Linked DNA regions of Mus musculus. The protein of the gene in region 1 purifies or fractionates together with the protein of each later gene. This does not show direct contact. Links are inferred from orthologs where the notes say so. Each region holds a gene or a part of one and is shown in the gene's direction. Other genes may lie near its edges.

Region 1 (4,473 bases):
TTGATAGCATTGCTAGCTGTAGTGTATCAGTTTTAAACTGATTAGCCCTGCTTACTTTTGTGTCACTAGCTTGAACAGCATAAGTAACACTGCTTAGTGTCAATGTAAAACATTATGCATGTGCGTGTGTGTGTGTGTAATATATACAAATTATATATACACACATGTATTTATGTATGTATTGGACCTTGCCTCTCTTGAGTGTTTAGTGAGTGTGCTGACAATGTCCTTTTTTGTTAGACTGTGCTATTGGATTTTGTGGCATTTCATTAATACCATCCCTGATTGTCTTGTTTTCTTTTCTGTAGTACTGGCAGATAGGGCTTCCTGTGTGCTCCTCGGTGCTCACCAGGAGGAATGATTGCTTAGCTTTGGGATCAAACAAATGGAAATTGACTTGAATTGGTTTTGTCTAGGTTATAACTTATAAATGTCTTTGATGGCAATTTAAAAGTTACTTCTTAATTTAATTGTTAACCACTTAAAGCATCTCAAATATCAGATTATTTCATTATGTTGAAAGAGCCGTCATGTTTCTTTAGGTCGCCAGTCGTGTACAGAAGTACTTCATAAAGCTAACGAAAGCCGGCATACCAGTTCCAGGCAGAACACCTAACTTATATATATACTCCAGAAAGGTAAGCAGTCCACACGGCCAGACCTCAGCGAGGGTCGCTGAGCTCAGAAGTGCTGAGCGCGTGAGTTTGTTAAGCTGTGCTCCCCTTGTGCTTGCCATTTCTCTGTAGGCTGTACATGAACCAGTGGCTCTTTCTGTGTCTGGTGTGCACTGGTCACGAGTGGTGTCTGTATGAGCGGCTGCTATGAGGGTTGTGCCACCACATAGATGTAATCCAATTCCACCACTGCCCTCACCTTGGAACTCCACCTCCTCACGCTTATAATTGTGTAGCTCCCAGTTGCAAGGATTAAGTGATAATGCATAAAGCAAGTAGTCGCTCCATGTTAGGTGATTGTTTATACACTCAGGTAGTATGGAAACTTCTCTCTCTTTCTCTCTCTCTCTCGAGAGCGCCCCCCCCCCCCCCCCGTAGTTATTGTCTGGCTTAGATCATTTTATTTTCTTTGATTTTTCAGTAAAAGTTTATCATAAGAGTTGAGTGTAGCCAGCATTGAATGCTCGTAAATGGTGGGGTATATGTATGGTTTTGTACTTTTGATTCTGTTAACGATTTTCCACTGTCCCAGTAAAACACTTGTTTTCTCCTCTAGTCCTCAACAAGCAGGCGACAGCACCCCCTTAATAAGCACCTCTTTAAACCTTCCACTTTCATGACTTCACATGAGCCACCGGTGTACATGGATGAAGATGATGACCGGTCCTGTCTCCATAGCCACATGAGCACTGCTGCTGAGGAGGCCTCAGTAAGTTACTTGCCTGGTTTTTATACAGATGACTGAACAATACACAGTAAATAACTCTCCGATTATCCCCACTCTTCAGGGGGTGCTGACATGTCCCCTTTAACTCACAGCTTAGAGTTAATATAGAGTTAATGAACTTTAAGTATTCTTTTGTGGAAAATTCAGCATAGGCATAAGAAGGCAGAGTAGCCCGGTGAACCGGGATCCGTTACTGAGCTTCTGTGATTGTCACCAGGCCATAGTTTACACATCTTCTTACCCGGTTCTGCTTCAAGTTATTTTGGAGGGAGTTCCAAACACCAAATTGAGGTTTCTGAGAAGGTAACTTCACATGGAGTAGAATATTTGCTCGCTCTCACTCAGGGCCCTGTGCACACTAGCAAGCACTCTACCAACTGATGTGCTACAGTGTGTGTTGCAAGGACTGAGTCCTTTGTGTCATTTAACTCACTCTTCTGCTCTGAAGTTTCTGTAAAGTGGTTGATTCCTTGCTTGAACAATATATACTAATACTCTGATTGCATAGAATCAGAGCAGGAGATTTTAATGATAGTTGGCAAGAAAAGATACTCCTTTCTCTTAGATAACTATGTAGTCACTGTAAAATTTTTCCTATGGAAATGCCTAGTCTTTAAATTACAGCTTGTGTGTGTGATTTTGTACTTTGTGATTGTTAGAATGACTCGTTTGAAGAAATACTTACCTAAACATGTTACGTAATAGGCTGTGCTGGGAGTTTGATAAGGAGTTGTAAAAATACATACGTCTTTGTTCTTCTAGATCTTGGGCTTGTTTATTGATCACGTTGATAAATATTTGTTAAAGTCCTTCAAAGGAATAAAAGGAGCCTTCATAGTCATTTAAGAGAGATACTTAGTTTAGAGAGAACGTTTAAGAGAAAAGTGTTAGTGACGATGGTGCCATGTGAGTCACAGCTAAGGTCACCCCCATTGATTCTCGATGGCCTCCCTTATGCCAGGTCTCTGGCTCGTCCTGAAGATGCCCCCCTTCACCCCATCATTGCTAATTTCCATTTATTTTCTTGGTATCTAGCCATCTCTCGTGTCCTAGGCCTCCCCACACATATGTAGAGGATGTACAGCTTGGTCTTCCTGTGGGTTCCCAACAGCTGGAATGGGATCTTTCCCAAAAGTTGTAGCCTGTATGTGAGATATATTCTAGCCGAGACACTTTGTCTGAGAGGAAGTCACAGAGACTTGAAGGGCCAGAGTAGGGGGATACCCAGGGAGTTCCCCACCTGCTCAGAGAAGAGGCGGGGGGGGGGGGGGGGGAGTGGGGGGGTGGGATAGGGGAAGGATTGTGTCTGGGCGGGGGAGGGTATGACTGGGAGAGGATGTAAAGTGTAAAAGTAAAAAAAAAAAAAAAAATATATATATATATATATATATATATATATATATATATACACACACACACACACACATATATATATATATATATATAAGCCATGTGAAAGGGGTGGCAGAACATTTAAAACAAGCACTCAGTGGTAGCCACTTACCAAGTGTATGCAAGGCCCTGGCTTTAATTCCTACTACAAAATTTTTTTAAAAGTTGACGAAATAATGTAATAAGTTAAGTTAGATTTAACTTTTTGTTGGTATTATTTATTTTTAAACAGTACTAATACAAATCATATTGATTACTGTTTTGGGAGACAGTCCCTCTGTGTAGCCTAGGAACGTCTTGAAATGATAATTCTACGTCAACATCCTTAAATCTAGAATTAAAAGTATGTATCGTCATGCCTTTCTGATCCACAGAGCTGTTTAAGAATATATTTATGAGTCTTGATAACATGTATAGGTTTCTCTTTCCAGAGATGCAGCAGCTAGAGAAATTAAATATGCATAATTTATTCCTTAGTTTGAAAAATCTGTATTCCACCTTAGCCTTATTTGAAAGTTGTTCCTTTTTTAGGTAACATTTGAGATAGTATAACTTAGAAAACTATGTTAATAAGTCATTTGTGTTAAAGTACAGTCTCAGATCTTCCCCGCTCCACTACCTGAAACCATGTCGACAGCATTCTTCCAGCTCCTTGTTCGTACCCACCATCCTTCATTTTGTCTGGACAGATTTGACAAAGTAAACACGCAGGTGGCTTCCATATCTGTAGGATCTTTCTGCGTCTATGGAGCTAACCCATCTGTACTACAAATGTGGAGACTTTATAGCAGTTGCAGAACTGTGAAATGGAGGAAAGATGCTGGTGGAGCGGGAACTGCAGAAGCTTCTATGCAGTTGAAGACCTTGAACCTGACTCCTACCTATATTCAAAGCTGTAGTACTAGTTAACAGACTTGAGTCTTGACAGAATCAGTTAGATAATGCAGGATATTTATGTCTTGGGCAGCCGGGTGTATCGTGAAATGAGGGTTCAAGTCATCCACTAGTTAATTAATTTCACTAATTAATTGTATGCTCTGGAGCAGTCCTTACAAGTTCTATAAGCATCCATTTCCTTAATGTGAAGCAAAGAATAGTAGTTAATAACAACTGATCTGACAGTGGCTGAGGGAGATGAGATTTTTATCTTGTCCAGGATTGAGAATTCATGGATCTTGGGCATTGGATTCATGGTGCATTTAGGAAACTTGTAACCATGGGGTCAATCATTAGGATGCAAAGGATCCTAGGTAGCAGGGCAAGACTGGGCAGATACAAAACCAGGATAGTGATTAGATATCTCAGTAGGCTTTTGGAAACCAGGATGAGGTGAGACCTCACAAGAGAAATGGAAAGCGGCATTGTGAGAGACTTATGTGCTGTTTGGGAGCAGATATTACTGTGGGTCAAGGGTGTGGCTTTTGGAGTAGGAGCCAGAGAAAGGTTGGAGGTAAGATCACTGTAGTGGAACTGAGAGCAGAGAGCTGGCAAACAGACGATCGGACACTAGGAGAGTCTTCGCCTTGCCCAGCATAGTGAGTGGTCTTCATTGTCAGTCACTGTTGCAATGAAATTGCCGGTCAGTTGTAGAGTTGGGGAAATCAGTACTGAATTTTACATCTTGAAGTCAGTGTTCTATGAACCTTTTGAAGTATTTATATAGTCCACAGTGTTTCCTAA
Region 2 (4,473 bases), on another chromosome or scaffold:
TGTAAGTTGGAGGCAAGAGCTGTGTTGTAACACACTTTGCTTGCCGTGTGGGCCCTAGGTTTGACTCAGGAGGTGTGGTGGGAAGAAATTAAATTAGAGGTATGGATGACTGAGGATTTTATTTTAGTCCTAGCATTTCATTTAATTGTATTTGATTTTGCCTCAATAAATCCATCCTAACAGGCAAAACTGAGGATAGAAGATTTATATCACTGTCTCAGTATTTTTTCCAGTTTTAACTGATTCAAAGTTTAGGATTAGTAAACATTTTGTTTCCAAATGGAGCTGATTCCTGTCTGTGCCTGAGTCTGTGCCTTTAATCCCAGCACGTAGAAGGCCCAGGCAGGCAGATTTAAGAGTTCTAAGCCACCCAGGGCTACATATTGAGACCTTGCTCAAAAACAAACCAAAGCAAAAAACCCAGTGTTTCCTTTCCATAAATCCAAAATATAATATCATACAGTTACAGTCCCGTGTAAGGGAATATGCCTCTGCAAATGTGCCTAACCTTTGCTGACATGGTTTTCCTAGGCAGAAACAGACCTGAATTATTCTAAACCTCTCAGGATGGTTGCCACCTCTTCCTTAGTATGTTTAGCTAAAACTTAAATATCGTTTGAAATGACAGAGGAAGCTTCGTTGCAAGTTCTTAATGTAATAAATGACCTTGCATACATCAGTATGTTGATGGTTTCTTCCTTACCTGTCCTCACTCAGACCGTTCACTTCTCCCTTCTTGTCCTCAGTTTTGCGTTCCTTTGAGTGAGAATAAAATAACACTAGTTGGTTTTCCATGAACCTTCCTTCCCTCTTACTACATCTTTCTGGGCAGGATTATTCTTGTGATTATTTGTGATGGACAGGACACTCACACTATGGATTCCATAGATAGGTGAAGATGACACTCCTCCTGGTCTCACATTTACAGATAATGCCCTAAGACTTTTGGCACACTCTCCAGAGTTTGGCCACCTCTGGGGAAATGGTGTGGCTCAGGAGCGGATATGAAGGTCTGCTGGGATGTATTGATCCCTGCAGGTAGAGGATCTTTTGGGTGTTATTGTTTGGTCTTTCTTGTAAGAAACTAGGAGCTGGAGAGGTGGCTTAACAGTTAAAAGTATTGGCTGTTCTTCCAGAGGACTAGGGTTCAATTTCCAGCCCTTACCTGTCCAGCTCCATTTCCAGGAAACTCTTGTCACATACACACACATTTATACCTAGTGAAAATAAATTGGCCATATAGATTTTTTTGTTTGTTTATTTTTGCTCGTTTTGGTTTTTTCCATTACCAAGATACTCTCAAAATTAATCACAAACAAAAGAAGAAACAGCTTCTGTGTGACTTCCTTTGTGAGGTTCTCATGGAGTTCAGGCTGACTTTGAACTCGCTGTGTAACCCAGGATGACCTTTCCTCCAGCCTGCGATCACAGGTGTCTGCCACCTCCTGCTTTGTTTGAATGTAGTACTGGAGATTGAACCCAGAGCTTCATGCATGCTGGGCAAGCGCCCTCCTACTGAGCACCCTACCACCTCACACCACTTTTTCCTAACTTTAAAATAATAGTAGTTAGATTCCAGACCTTCCAAAAATACTTATGTTATAAATTACAGCAGGTGACTTAAGGTTATGAAACAACTTTACATGGCTTTACATAGGGTACTTATAAATGCTGCATGCTTTTTGGAGTATTTTGAAATTAAGTGTTACCATCCAGGCTTTATGTATCTGTATAGTGACTTACTGTCACCTGAATCAGGTGACTGTCTCTGGGATAAACTAATTCAGTTCTCTTGAGTGATCTCTTGGCTATCTGTTTAATTTTATTGTTATTATTGTTATTTTCTGTGTATGAATGTTTTGCCTACATGATGGCTCTGTGCTCTTTGGGTGCCTTCGATCTTCGGGACCTGGAGCTGCATACAGTTGCACATCATCATGTGGGTGCTGGGAGTCAGACTCAGGTCCTTGGAAGAGCAGGCAGGATTCTCAGCCACCTCTTCAGTCCCTCTTGGTATTTAAGACAGGTCTCCTACAACTTAGGTTGGCCTCGAACTTGATATGTTGCTGAGGCTGACATTAAATTCCTCTACTCCCAAGTGTTGTAATTAGAGGCACCATGGCAGGCTTTCTGTGTTGTTTTGCTCTTTTAACAAAGAGCTGAGGTTCTTTTTTTTTTTTAAAGATTTATTTATTTATTATATATAAATACACCGTAACAGTAACTGCTTACTGCTGGCTATTGAACACTGGGAATTCGCTGTCAAGAGTTGACTATGGCAAAAAAAAAAAAAAAAAAAAAAAGGAACTGAATTTTATACTTAATTTAATTACTTTATTTATGTATTTAATTTTATATTATGTGTCTAGATGGTTTGCCTGCATGTGTCTGAACCACATGCATGCCTGGTGCCTATGGAGGTCAGAAGAGGGAGTCAGAGCCCCTGGAACTGAAGGTTTTGTGTCACCATGTGTGTGCTGGGACTCCAACTCAGATTCCCTGGAAGAGCAACCAGTGCTCTTAGCTGCTGACCAATCCAGACCCACTTTATTTAATTTTAATCAATTTAGTTTAAGTAGCCACATGTGGTTAGTGGCTAATGTATGAGACATTGTGAAATTAGAGGATTCATGGGATTGTTTTATATGTAAGTCTGGCTAATTTACCATATTGCAAAGTTAGTCATTAGTTTAGCCATTAAGTACACAGTTACATTTGTTATAAGTAATACTAGAAGATCAGGGATAGTTTTATTGAGTACCCACTATAGCAAGCACTGAAGAAGTAATGGAACTGGAGTTTGCATATTAGAATGAGCCCTGAGCTATACTAGTCATGCTTTGAGATGTGCTTAAAAACTTTGTGAATTACACAGCACTGAAAGCTTAACATTACTTTCATCAAACTCTGGTTTATTCTCATATCCTTTTGTGAAAGCTAGAGTTCTTTTGAAAAGTATGAGCAGGGCCAGGCATGATCATGTATGCATTTAAAACATCCCTGAGTTCAAGGTCACTCTGGTCTTCTTTGAGCTTCAAGGCAGCCAGGGATGATTAACCCTGTCTCAAAAAAAAAAAAAAATTAAAAATTAAAAATAGGAGGAAATGTGAGAAGCAGCAGAGCAGTGTACAACATTGTTAAGGAATTTTCCCCTGGAAGGGAAATTCAGAGTTTTTAACAATAGCCATGCTGATAATGCTTTTGACTTAATGTTGTTGGCTAAGTACACACAACACTGAGAGTTAGGCATCCCTAACGAGAAAATCTAAACTCTCCCAAGGTTGAAAGATTTCTGGATCTTTTCAGACCAGTCATATTCAGCCTATATATGCACAGACTTACACAGAATAAGTACCAATATTTTGTAGTGTTTGTTTATTACCTTTGTGTGTATACATAAACATTTATACATGCTAGTATTTCATAATAGTACTATTAATGTGTTTGTTATTGCTTCACAGTGAAGAATTGAATTTCACCATGTCTGGAATCAAGCGAACAATCAAAGAAACTGACCCTGATTATGAGGATGTATCTGTGGCCCTTCCAAATAAGCGGCATAAAGCGATTGAGAGTTCAGGTAGCCGTCGAGTTGCTTTTGAGACTTAACTTTGCTGACATTTGCCTGTGCATAAGGGTTTATAAAATCTACATGAATATCTACAATCATATATAAGCTGAAGGATATTTGAAGGGTTAGCCTAGTGCTCTGTGCAGTTCACCATGTGTCACATACAAGGGAGGGGATCTGGCAGGAACATGATTAAAGTAAGCTGTAAATCTTAGCTATTGTTGCAATATAGCTAAAATCAGAATGTTGGCAACTGGAGAGATGGCTCAGTGGTCAAAAGTGCATTCCAGTCTTTTTATTTCTTAAAGATTTTCCCCCCTTTTTGGTTTTGAGAGAAGGTCTCTGTTATGTAGTTCTGACTGTTCTAGAACTAACTCTAGATCAGGCTGGCCTGAACTTACATCGTCCCACCTGCCTCTGCCTCCTGGGTATCAGATTAAAGGTATCTGCCATTGTGTTCAGTGTTTTGTTTTGAGACGGGGTTTCTCTGTGTAGCCTTGGCTGCCCTGGAACCCACCCTGTAGACCATGCTGGCCTTGAACTCCTGGGAACTGGGATTAAAGGCCTGTGCTGCTACCAACTAGCCTTTTTTTTTTCTTGGTAATTTTATGTATATAAGTGTTTATGCACCATGCACATGCATTTCTTGTGTAGCCCAAAAGAGCCCAGGTGTTGGAGCCTCTGAAACTGGAGTTGCAAGAGATTATTAGTTCCAATGTGAGTGTTAGGAGTCAAACCTGTTTCCTCTGCAAGAGTAGCCAGTGCTCCTGACAGCTGAGCCCTCACTCTAGCTCCCAAGTTCAGTGCTCTTGCAGAGGATCCAAGTTTGGTTCCCAGCATCCATGTCAGGTAGGTCACAGTAACCTGTAACTCTGGCTCCAGGGAAGTAGATGCCTTCTTTG
Region 3 (5,236 bases), on another chromosome or scaffold:
CCTGTGTGCTGGCATTACAGGCATGAGCCACTATTCTTTTCTTAAATACATTGATGTCTACCCTTCATGGAATTCTATCATATCCCAGTGAAATAAAAAAATCCAACCAAAGTTTACCAAGTGATGTGGGACCTGGGTCCAGGCTGTTTTCCATCAAATCTCTTTACTTGGATCTGCTCCAGCCACTCTGACCTTCTTGCTTCTTCTTCTCCATGCCTATCAAAGCCACGCACCAGGGCCACCGTACCTGCTGAGTCTCATCTATGGTTCTCTCTAGAAATCTGGAAGCTTCTGTTTCTCATTCAATAATTGGATTTCCTCTTGTGTGTTATGTCTGCTAGGAAGCCTTTCTTCCCTATCCTGACTAAAAGAAAATCTATCACTGTTATATCTGGATCCTGATTTATTTCCCATAAAACCACATTATGAGGCATTTAAAAATATTTGTTACTTATATATTAATATGCAACATACTTATATTTTATTGCTTATATATAAAATACACAAACCTTATGTGCAAGAGCATATACTTCGCTCACTACCAAATTCTCAGCACCCAGGGAAGTGGCTGTTCGTTGTGCTTTTGTGAAATGAATGGATTTGGAGAGTCAGTAAATGTGAAGTACTCTATAGCATCAACTGTTTATTTAACGTGGTGGGGATGACTTTCACATGTGAATTTTTAATGTTTTTTCTTTACTACTCTTTTTTTTTTTGAGACAGATCTCTTACTCTGTAGCCCAGATTGATCTCAATCTCAAAGCAATTGTCCTGCACTCTCCAAGTGTTGAGATCACAGATGTGAGCCACTAATTGCACCCAGCTGCAGATTTTATTTTTATTTTAACAATAGACTTATATTACCTGTGTACCAAAAAACAAATCAAGATGCCACACGGGCAGATATCGTATAAATGAATTCCAACAGAAATTGGGCAAATCTATGAAACAGATTTTTAAATAGATATACAGCATAATAGTTAAGATCAAGCCATGGGTTGGAATAGAGCTCTTCCCCAACACTTGGTAGCACTGTGATCCTAAGTTATATATTTCAATGCTGGACCATGAGGACAGTAACAGTGCCTCCCTCAGAAAGTTGTTTTAGACGAACCCTTATGTGTAACCCGCTTTGTACAATGCCTGGCATGCAGTATTGAAGGACTCCACAAATGGAAGCTCTTATAAGAATCTATACTATTAGTAATAAGAGATGTTGGGACATACCTAGCCCTCAAGAGTGACATCAGAGTGGACCACCACATCATCACTGCGTTTCCATGTGGGCCTCTGAAGCCCAGGCAGGGGATGGGTCTTTCCAGAGAAGGCAATTTCGACGTCCCAGAAGCATCAGAATAAAAAGGACCCTCTTCACCCCTCAAGTCATTCAGTCCGGGTAATCCATGAGTGGCATGATGCGCCCGGGGCTCGTCATCCTCCAGTCCAGAGCCTGGGCAGCCTCAGTTTCTTTGCTTGCAAAAGAATTGGAATGGGACTGTTAAGAAAAAAATCTAGACTGAAACAGCGGAAGCCGCCTTAGCACATGCCACCGGGCCGCTTGTGGCGACGGAGAAAGTGACAGCAGGTCAGACTTCAGAGCCCACCGACTAGCAGCCAGGTACCACGCTCCCCATCCCGGGGCGGCGCCACCGGGACCCGCCCGCTGCCAGACTGGAGGAGGCGGGACCGCCTCGGCGTGCTCGCGGCACGGGACCGCGCACGTGAGTCGAGGCCGCGCACGCAGGCCGCGGCGCGCACGCAGAGTCTGCACAGCGCGCGCAGCGGCGGGCTCTTCGGCGCCGAGGTGCGGGACGTGGCGAGGTGAGGCGCGGGGCCGAGCGGCGGGAGCGAGGGCACGCGGGGTCACGAGGTGCCGGCTGGCGCGGCGGGGCCACGCGGCGGGGGAGGTTGGCGCGGCCGGGCGAGTCCCGAGCCCCTCCCCCCGGCGGCTGGCGGTGCCGCAGCTCCGTATTCCCGGCTGGGCGGTGGAGCACGGCCCCGGCCCACCTGACCCGCCGAACCCCCACGTGGGTCTCCGCGCCCCAGTGTTTAGCACTGTTTTGCGGTCGAGGCCCGGCTACAGTGACCTGCCCAAGACCGTGCAGCTCTAAGGATGTTAACTGCACAACTGCCAAGCCCGCGGCTCCCCTGTGCTCATGGGATCCTGCCCCTCCATGCCTTCCCTGATCCCTCTTGTAATTAATTTAAATGTAGCCCATCTCTCAAGGATGTTAGTGTCACTGCGTGGTCTTCTAAGGAAGGAGAGGAAGGAGGATTTTGCTTTCTGCAGCATTGTGCTTTGCAATGTGAAGTGTTTGTCAGAACGTACTGTAGAATCTTTGCCACTGTAAAGGTCTTGATAGAGCCCTGCTGTTCACCAGGCTGTAAAAACATTGTGCAAATACCCCAATCTTTAGCGCTTCATTTTCTTGGGGAAAACAGCCTATGTCAGGAGATTGTTAGGATTCCAAGATATAGTCCCCGTACTAAGATTACATTTAGTACCTGACATATGCCTTTGTTAATTTTTTTTTTAATTAATTTTTTTTTTTAGTCAGCCTCATGTATCTTGGGCTAACCTTGAACTTAATGTAGCCAAGAGTTTCCATGAACTGATCGTACTGTCTGTACCTCTGGAGTACTGGGTTTGTTTGCTCAATGGATGCTGGAGTGTGAATATAAAGCATCCTTGCTAAAACACCCTACAACTGAACTACTGAGCCACAACGTTCTTCAAAGATCATTTTTCTTGGAAATAGAGTAAAAACTCACCCCTACCCAAAATAGCCTAAAGTTTGACCCTCAGCCTTCTTATCTAAGCATTGCATATACTTTGTATGTCAGTCCCCAAGCTAAAAATGTCAACGTGAAAAACCTATTTTGGTTGGAGAGATGGCTCAGCGGTTAAGAGCACTGGCTGCGCTTCCAGAGGTTCCGAGTTCAAATCCCAGCAACCACACGGTGGCTCACAGCCATCTGTAATGGGATCTGATGCCTTCTGGTGGGTCTAAGGACAGCTACAATGTACTCATATAAATAAAATAAATAAATCTTTAAAAACAAAAGGGGGGGGGGCTGGAGAGATGGCTCAGAGGTTAAGACCACTGACTGCTCTTCAGAAGGTCCTGAGTTCAATTCCCAGCAACCACGTGGTGGCTCACGACCATCCGTAGCAAGCGCCCTCTTCTGGAGTGTCTGAAGGCAGCTACAGTGTACTTACAGATAATAAATAAATAAATCTTAAGGAAAAAAAAAAAGAAAAATCTATTTCAGGAGAAATGAAGGTGAATTAGCCTTTTGTTTTGTTTGTTTGTTTGTCCCCCACCCCCTGAGACAGGGTTTCTTTTTTTTTTAAGATTTATTTATTTTATTTTATTATATGTGAGTACACTGTAGCTGTCTTCAGATGCACCAGGAGAGGGCGTCAGATCTCATTATGGGTGGTTGTGAGCCACCATGTGGTTGCTGGGATTTGAACTCAGGACCTTCGGAAGAACAGTCAGTGCTCTTAACCACTGAACCATCTCTCCAGCCCGAGACAGGGTTTCTCTGTGTGGTCCTAGCTCTGTAGACCAGGCTGGCCTTGAACTCAGAAATCCACTTGCCTCTGCCTCCCAAGTGCTGGGATTAAAGGCATGTGCCACCACTGCCCGGCTGAATTAGCCTTTTATAAAACTAACATTTATTTGTCCAAATTGGTATTTGCTTTGTTTTGGCTTGGGTTTTCTTTCCTTTTTCCCCTCTAAGACAGGGTCTCTCTATGTTGCCCTGCCTGCCTGTCCTAGAGCTCACTCTGTAGAGTAGGCTGTCTGTGGTTCCTGAGTGCTGGGATCAAAGGTGTGCACCACCATGAGTTTCAAGCAGTCCAAGATAGCCAGGGATGACATTGAAGTCCTCCTGTCTGAAGGAGTAAGTTACTGATCCGCATATGTTGGGTAGGATTCCTTAGTTTCCAGTAATAAAATCCAATTTATTTTTTGAGACAGGATCTCACTATGTAGCTGGCTCCGAACTCTTCATGTAGACCAGGCTGGTCTTGAACCAGAGACCTATTTTCTTTTGCTTCCTGGGTACTAGGATTAAAGGTGAATACCACCATACCAGCAAGTTCCAGGTTCTGTAAGGAGGCTGCACTTCACATTCTGTGAGCGAGGGGGGGGGTCTGAGTGTTGTGGTTGGCAACCACACAGTTGCCGTGTCGGGTTGCCAAAATATACCTTGGACTGGTTTCTGATCTGTGTGCATCTTCTCTTTGTTCTTAGGGGATCGTGGGATTGTTTGGCAACGTCTGAAGTCTTGAAACTCTACATCAAGGGAGATCAAGCAGCCATCAGTCAGCTAGAGGATGGACCGTTTGGGTTCCTTTAGCAGTAAGTACAGTGGGACAAGTCTCAAGTGACAATAAATAGCCACCTAAAGTAGAGGTTGATCAGGGAAGCAGCGCCTTTGATAATGCCTGAAGGAATTAGGAATAGCACATAAAAGTAAAGTCAGGCAAGACCGGTCTGTTGTTTGCCTACTGAATGTGGCACAGCTTCATCACTTTAGAAAAAAGCCAAGCTGAGTGAACCAGTCACCATATGGTTGATCAGGAAATAGACGTGTTTATTTTGAGCCCAGGGTCTCATGTAGACTGGCTGGCCTGGAACTGGCTTTGTAGCTAAGGATGACCTTAAACTACTTATTCATCAAGTGCTGGGATTTCAGGCTTGTACCATCATTGGATTTCAAAGAAATTAGAGATCACAAAATTGGGCAGTGCACACAACAGACACATACACACACGCACAGTCATAAAGTTGATGTTCATTAGTAAGACCCAGAAGTATGTTGTTAGGATTTGGTTCCTGTCGTTGTATCAGAGGCACTCTGCATCTTCCCTCCGTATATTCAGAAAGTTAGAATCTTGGACACATCTAGTTCTATATTTTCATCTGACTAATGTTCCAAGTGTAAACTGAAAGTATTCCCACCTCTTGTCTTTCAAGACAAGGTTTCTCTGTGGAACTGAAGCTGTCCTGGAACTCTCTGTAGATCAGGCTGGCTTCTGCTTGGTAACATGTCTGCCTCAGCCTCCCAAGTCCAGGATTAAAGGCCACTCCCTCCCTGCTATTCCCACCCTTTAAAACAATTGTTAGGGCCTGTCATCATGCCACATTCCTTTAATCCCAGCACTCAGGAGGCATAGGGTAGGCGATCTTTGTGAGTTCAAGACCAGTCTGATCCACATAATGAG
Region 4 (5,220 bases), on another chromosome or scaffold:
ATTGTTTCTGTGTGTAGTCCTGGCCATCCTGGAACTAGCTCTGTAGACGAGGCTGGCCTCGAACTCAGAGTTCTGCCTACCTCTGCTTCCCCAGGGCTGGGATTAAAGGTGTATACCACAACTGCCTAGCATAAGAGATTTTTAAAAACAAAATACATTTAAAGAAGACAAATTGGAAAATTAATCACAATAGAATGCATGGTCATTTATACTTCTGGTGTCATTCCAAGGCCATTCATAGCTGTTACACTCGCTGATTTACTGGATGAAAAGTCTGGGGTTATCATAAATAAAAAGTATTGTGGCATGATTTTTCCTTAGGGAAATATGCAAAAATAACTTGAATCTCTTCTCATTCTAAAAGTCACTGGTCCCAAACTCTATTTTCACATTCAAAGATATAACCTGGGCTGGTGAGATGGTTCAACAGGTAAGAGCACTGACTGCTCTTCCAAAGGTCCTATGTTCAAATCCCAGAAACCACATGGTGGCTCACAACCACACGAAATGAGATCTGATATCCTTTTCTGGTGTGTATAATAATAAATAAATCTTTGTGCTGGCGCAAGCAGAGGTCCTAAATTCAATTTCCAACAACCACATGAAGGTTCACAACCATCTGTACAGCTACAGTGTATTCATATACATAAAATAAATCTTTAAAAATAAATAAACCTAGATTCTTTAAAAAATAAATTAAAGTCGGGCGTGGTGTCGCATGCCTTTAATCCCAGCACTCAGGAGGCAGAGGCAGGCGGATTTCTGAGTTTGAGGCCAGCCTGGTCTACAAAGTGAGTTCCAGGACAGTCAGGGCTACACAGAGAAGCCCTGTCAAAACAAACAAACAAAGAAACAAACAAAAAACACCAAAAAAATTAATTAAAAAAAAAAAACCAAAGATATAACCAATGCAGTATGCTAACTGTTCATAATAGTATTTTCTTCATGCCGTTTGGGTTCACTTAACAGAGAACGAAAGAGCAAAGCATACTGAGACGAAGTGAATGTTGGGGAAACACTGGGAATACCTAATCAAGGCCTGAATGAGCCTTATCATTGTTGTCTATCGGTTTTCAGCAGCAGCTTTGAATGTGTACTTTCCTGGGTAAGAGTGATTTACTGATATGCCATTCTTCATTGGCATCACAAATACTTAAAAGTTCTGGGAAGCCAAGTCTCTTTTTTAATTTAAGGGGTAAGTGCAAATGACACCATCCTTAGCCTCTTGTGAACTACTCTGACACAAGGATCTTACAAGCATTCCTGAAAGGCTCCAAGGGCATCAACGACATTTTTTTTTTCTTTTGGTTTTTTGAGACAGGGTTTCTCTGTATAGCCCTGGTTGTCCTGGAACTCACTTTGTAGACCAGGCAGGACTCGAACTCAGAAATCCGCCTGCCTCTGCCTCGGGAGTGGTGGGATTAAAGGCGTGAGCCACCACGCCGGGCAACGCCATTTCTTAAGATTACAGGAGCTAAACATGTCCGGATCCTTGCCTGACCCAGTGCATTTCCCAACAGAAGTTTAGTAGGCAACAAGGTGTAGCCGAGGCTGAGGCAGGATTGCGAGTTTGAAGCTAGTTTGAGCTGCACAGCAATACCTTGTCAAAAAACCAACCACCCAGCTTTTAGACTCTAAGAAAATTTAGGGTCTGATCAGTCGCCCCATAGCGACCAGATGTCCTCCGTACATACTCCACTGGCACTCCCAACCCCACCCTCGCGACTCCAAAGCAGCCCAGCACTGCGACTTCCTGGTGAAGGCGGTCCCCAAATAGGAAAGCCAGGGCCCCAGGCAGCCACTCCCAAGAAGCAGCGAAGCGGGCCAGGGGTTACGCTCGGCGCTCGATTGCTAGAGCCTGGCGACGATAGCACTTGCAACGGCTCTGCGCTCGAGAGGTCGAGCCTGGCCCGTTGCGGCTGCGGCGGCGGCGGCGGCTGTGGCGGCGGCGGGGGCGGGCGCGGGAGCGAGTCCGCGGCCGGGAGCGGGAATGTCGAGGAGTTCGAAGGCAGTGCTGGGCCTCTCGGTGCTGCTGACGGCGGCCACGGTGGCCGGCGTGCATCTGAAGCAGCGGCAGGACCGGCAGGTCGGTGTCACGTGACCGCGTCTTCCGGGGCGCCGAGCCCGCAGCTGTCCCTGCGCGCGTGGCGGGCCGGGCGGGCTGCAAGGGCGCGTTCAGGACGCCGACTTCTCTCCCCCAGCCACGAGGCGGGAGACTGGGGCGGAAGCCTCGGGGCAGGGGTGTAGTCCAGAGTTAGAGAGTTGCTAGGGTGAGCTCGAGGCCCTGGGGGCAGCACAGCCCACAAAGCCTTACCCAGGAATTGTTAAATCCGGAGATAAAGCAGCTCACACCCAGCACACCCCCCAGTGCCTTTGGCTAAAGAAACTTGAGATTTTTGCAACTTGCATTAACAAAACATTTTGCTACTGGACTTAGGTTCTGGAAAGGATAAAAGGTAGCGAGCGCCCTTCACGTTTTCTTTTAATGGCTTTCTTTCGGAGAATAACTGGCTTATTAATCAGCGACTAACCGACTCTTCCTCATTCCAGTTTGCAACGCTGGCTAGTGCGCTGAGCACACTGAGAACACATAGTTAATTATAACCTCTCGAGATTGTTCTTTTTATAATGGTGCCACACTGTGCTGGCCAGTACTTGGTATTTGCCCTTTCAAGCAATACCTTTACAGTTATTTGGTTTGAATCGGATTTGCCATGGGCAGAAGTTACTGAAAGCCTCAAGAGTCACCAGACCATCGACCTTTGTATTCACAAACTAGGAATTGCAATGAAACTAGGCTTGCAAATTCAGAACCATTTTGAGGAGCAGGGTCGATGTGCAGTGATGGAGAAGCACACAAGGAATTAAAGATTTGGGATTAAAATATGGTTCCCCAGGGATATCTTCTGGAGTAGAAGCAAGAAACTTCCTTCTTGGGAGGAAAAGGAAAAGATGGTGGTTCTAATTAAACTTGGAAGACAGGGTGTCTGTGTCCTCCTGATGTGTTTTGGAGACAGCGTTTGCTATCAGTTTTGTTTCAAACTCTGTTCCCCTGAGAAGTTTTTACAGTATGAGCAGACCAATTAAATCAGATCTCTGGAGCATGGAGACTCAGCTGTGTTCCAAAAGGCACGCCAAAGGCTTTAATGAAACGGTTGAGAATCACAGTTAGAGAATGGAAGTGTGCAAAGATCTAGTTATTTCTTGGAAGTTAGTGACCAAGACATACTGACCAAAATAAGCTGTCCAGTAGCTATTCATTAGCGACTTACTGTAACATCGAGGAAGGTAGATGTCTTGAAAACTTCAAGGTGGCAGTAAAGGAAATAATGGCTTGTTTTCTGTCTACCCACACCAGACACAGTGTTTTTCACTTTACAGACATTGTCTTTAACTCTCAAAGGAACTTAGTAGACATCAATTACAGATGGTTCCTAACTTAAAGATGGTTAACTTGGTTTTATGTATGTGTTTGGGTGTTTTTTTTTTAAAGATTTATTTATTTATTATATGTAAGTACACTGTAGCTGTCTTCAGACACTCCAGAAGAGGGTGTCAGATCTTGTTACAGATGGTTGTGAGCCACCATGTGGTTGCTGGGATTTGAACTCAGGACCTTCGGAAGAGCAGTTAGTGCTTTTAACCACTGAGCCATCTCTCCAGCCCCGGTTAACTTGGTTTTTAGGAAAGCAGTATCGTTTGTATTTAGTGAAACTTTCTTTGAATATTGAATTTTGGTATTTTCCCAGGCTCAGGATCAATGGTAGGATTCTTTCAAAATGCCAGGCAGCAAAACAAACCTCAGACCCCAGGGAGCCCCGGAATGCTGATGTTCAGTGGTATCATGTCAGAACACCTTTATTATTTTCAGTTTATCATGAGGTTTTCCAGGTATGGTCCTATGGTAAGTTGAGGAGTGTTAATGATTCTACAGGAATCAAGGCTCCAGATGCTAGAGTTAGGTTAGTAAAGAGCTGTGTTAGTTAGGGTTTCCTATTGCTATGACAAAGCACCATGACTAAATGCACCTTGGGGTGGAAAGGGGTCAACTTCCAGCTCCATATCACAGTTCATCAATGAAAGCAATTGAGGTGATAATCTGGAAGTAGGAACTGAAGCAGAGGCTGTGAAAGAGCTGCTCACTGGCGGCTTATGTTAAGACAAAGTCTTTCTGTGTTGTCTTGGCTGGCTCAGAGCTCAGAGAGATCTGCCTGCTACTACCTCCTAAATTCTAGAACTAATGTACCACCATGCTGGACCTGAGCCCTCACTCTTACATTTCCCAACTCCACTGGTGTAGCAAATGTAGCTGTAGGCCTGGGAGAGGCTCAGTAAGAACTAGGTGAGTATTTATTTATTTATCTATTTATTTATTTATTTTGAGTAGACTTTATTGTAAAAACACAAACCCCTTGCAAATAAATAAAAACATCACACATCAAAATTAATGAGACTCAAAGTCTGTACAACTCAGTGAACTGCACAGTAAACGTTCACATGTGCTTTATTTATTTTTATTGTTTTATATTTAAGAGGGTTTGCATGCATGTGCGAGCACTCATGCATATCTGGTGCCTGTGGAGGTTAGACAAGGTCATCACATCCCTTTGGTCCAGAGTTACAGCCACTTGTGAGCCTCTGTGGAAACTGAAGTTATGTCATGCAAGAATGAGCACTTCTCTCCTGAGCCCTACCTCCAGCCCTTCTGTATGGTTAGGAGAGGTAGGTGTTCATTCAGAACGGAAGCTCTGGAGCTCCACTTTCAGTACTGAATTCGCTTTTATACACTTACCCACCACCAACCCCAAAAAACCCATGACAGATTTAGACCCAGAAAAACAATCAGCTTATATTCCCTTTCATAGTTTGTATCCATTCTCGTCCAGTCCTTCCTCATCTCCTTATATATAGCTTTTCTTGTTCTCTTTTCTTCATGATATGCTGTACCCACATGCACCTTCATTTCTGTATTTACAAATAACATTGCTTAGATTCTGCATATGAGAGAGAACTGCAGTTTCTTTCTGAGAGTGTGTGACCTTGTTCAATATTATATATTCTAATTCTATTCATTTTTCTACAGATTTTTAAACTTTATTTTTCTTTAAAGCTGCATGGTAATCTATCGTGTGTGTGTGTGTGTGTTTGTGTGTGTGTGTATACACACACTAAATTTTCATTATCCATTCATCTGTTGGTGGCCAATTAGGTTGATTCAGG

What was found.
Region 2: the proteins of Zzz3 (region 1) and Yeats2 purify together in Homo sapiens (affinity purification with mass spectrometry; 3 studies listed by BioGRID, with this or other methods). This does not show direct contact. The link is inferred for Mus musculus from reciprocal best matches to the Homo sapiens genes ZZZ3 and YEATS2.
Region 3: the proteins of Zzz3 (region 1) and Tada2a purify together in Homo sapiens (affinity purification with mass spectrometry; 4 studies listed by BioGRID and IntAct, with this or other methods). This does not show direct contact. The link is inferred for Mus musculus from reciprocal best matches to the Homo sapiens genes ZZZ3 and TADA2A.
Region 4: the proteins of Zzz3 (region 1) and Kat14 purify together in Homo sapiens (affinity purification with mass spectrometry; 4 studies listed by BioGRID and IntAct, with this or other methods). This does not show direct contact. The link is inferred for Mus musculus from reciprocal best matches to the Homo sapiens genes ZZZ3 and KAT14.

The regions. Positions count from the first base shown.
Region 1 is NC_000069.6:152,450,761-152,455,233, forward strand, and holds part of Zzz3 (ZZ-type zinc finger-containing protein 3), read left to right. Parts: intron 1-542; coding exon 543-638; intron 639-1,230; coding exon 1,231-1,383; intron 1,384-4,473.
Region 2 is NC_000082.6:20,146,981-20,151,453, forward strand, and holds part of Yeats2 (YEATS domain-containing protein 2), read left to right. Parts: intron 1-3,461; 5' UTR 3,462-3,480; coding exon 3,481-3,580; intron 3,581-4,473. UniProt on the Homo sapiens protein: Chromatin reader component of the ATAC complex, a complex with histone acetyltransferase activity on histones H3 and H4. YEATS2 specifically recognizes and binds histone H3 crotonylated at 'Lys-27' (H3K27cr).
Region 3 is NC_000077.6:84,126,122-84,131,357, reverse strand, and holds the start of Tada2a (transcriptional adapter 2-alpha), read left to right. Parts: upstream 1-1,789; 5' UTR 1,790-1,821; intron 1,822-4,262; 5' UTR 4,263-4,345; coding exon 4,346-4,370; intron 4,371-5,236. UniProt on the Homo sapiens protein: Component of the ATAC complex, a complex with histone acetyltransferase activity on histones H3 and H4. Required for the function of some acidic activation domains, which activate transcription from a distant site. Binds double-stranded DNA.
Region 4 is NC_000068.7:144,367,072-144,372,291, forward strand, and holds the start of Kat14 (cysteine-rich protein 2-binding protein), read left to right. Parts: upstream 1-1,963; 5' UTR 1,964-1,990; coding exon of another isoform or gene 1,991-2,086; intron 2,087-5,220. Other genes in the region: protein PET117 homolog, mitochondrial precursor, read left to right, coding at 1,991-2,086. UniProt on the Homo sapiens protein: Component of the ATAC complex, a complex with histone acetyltransferase activity on histones H3 and H4. May function as a scaffold for the ATAC complex to promote ATAC complex stability. Has also weak histone acetyltransferase activity toward histone H4.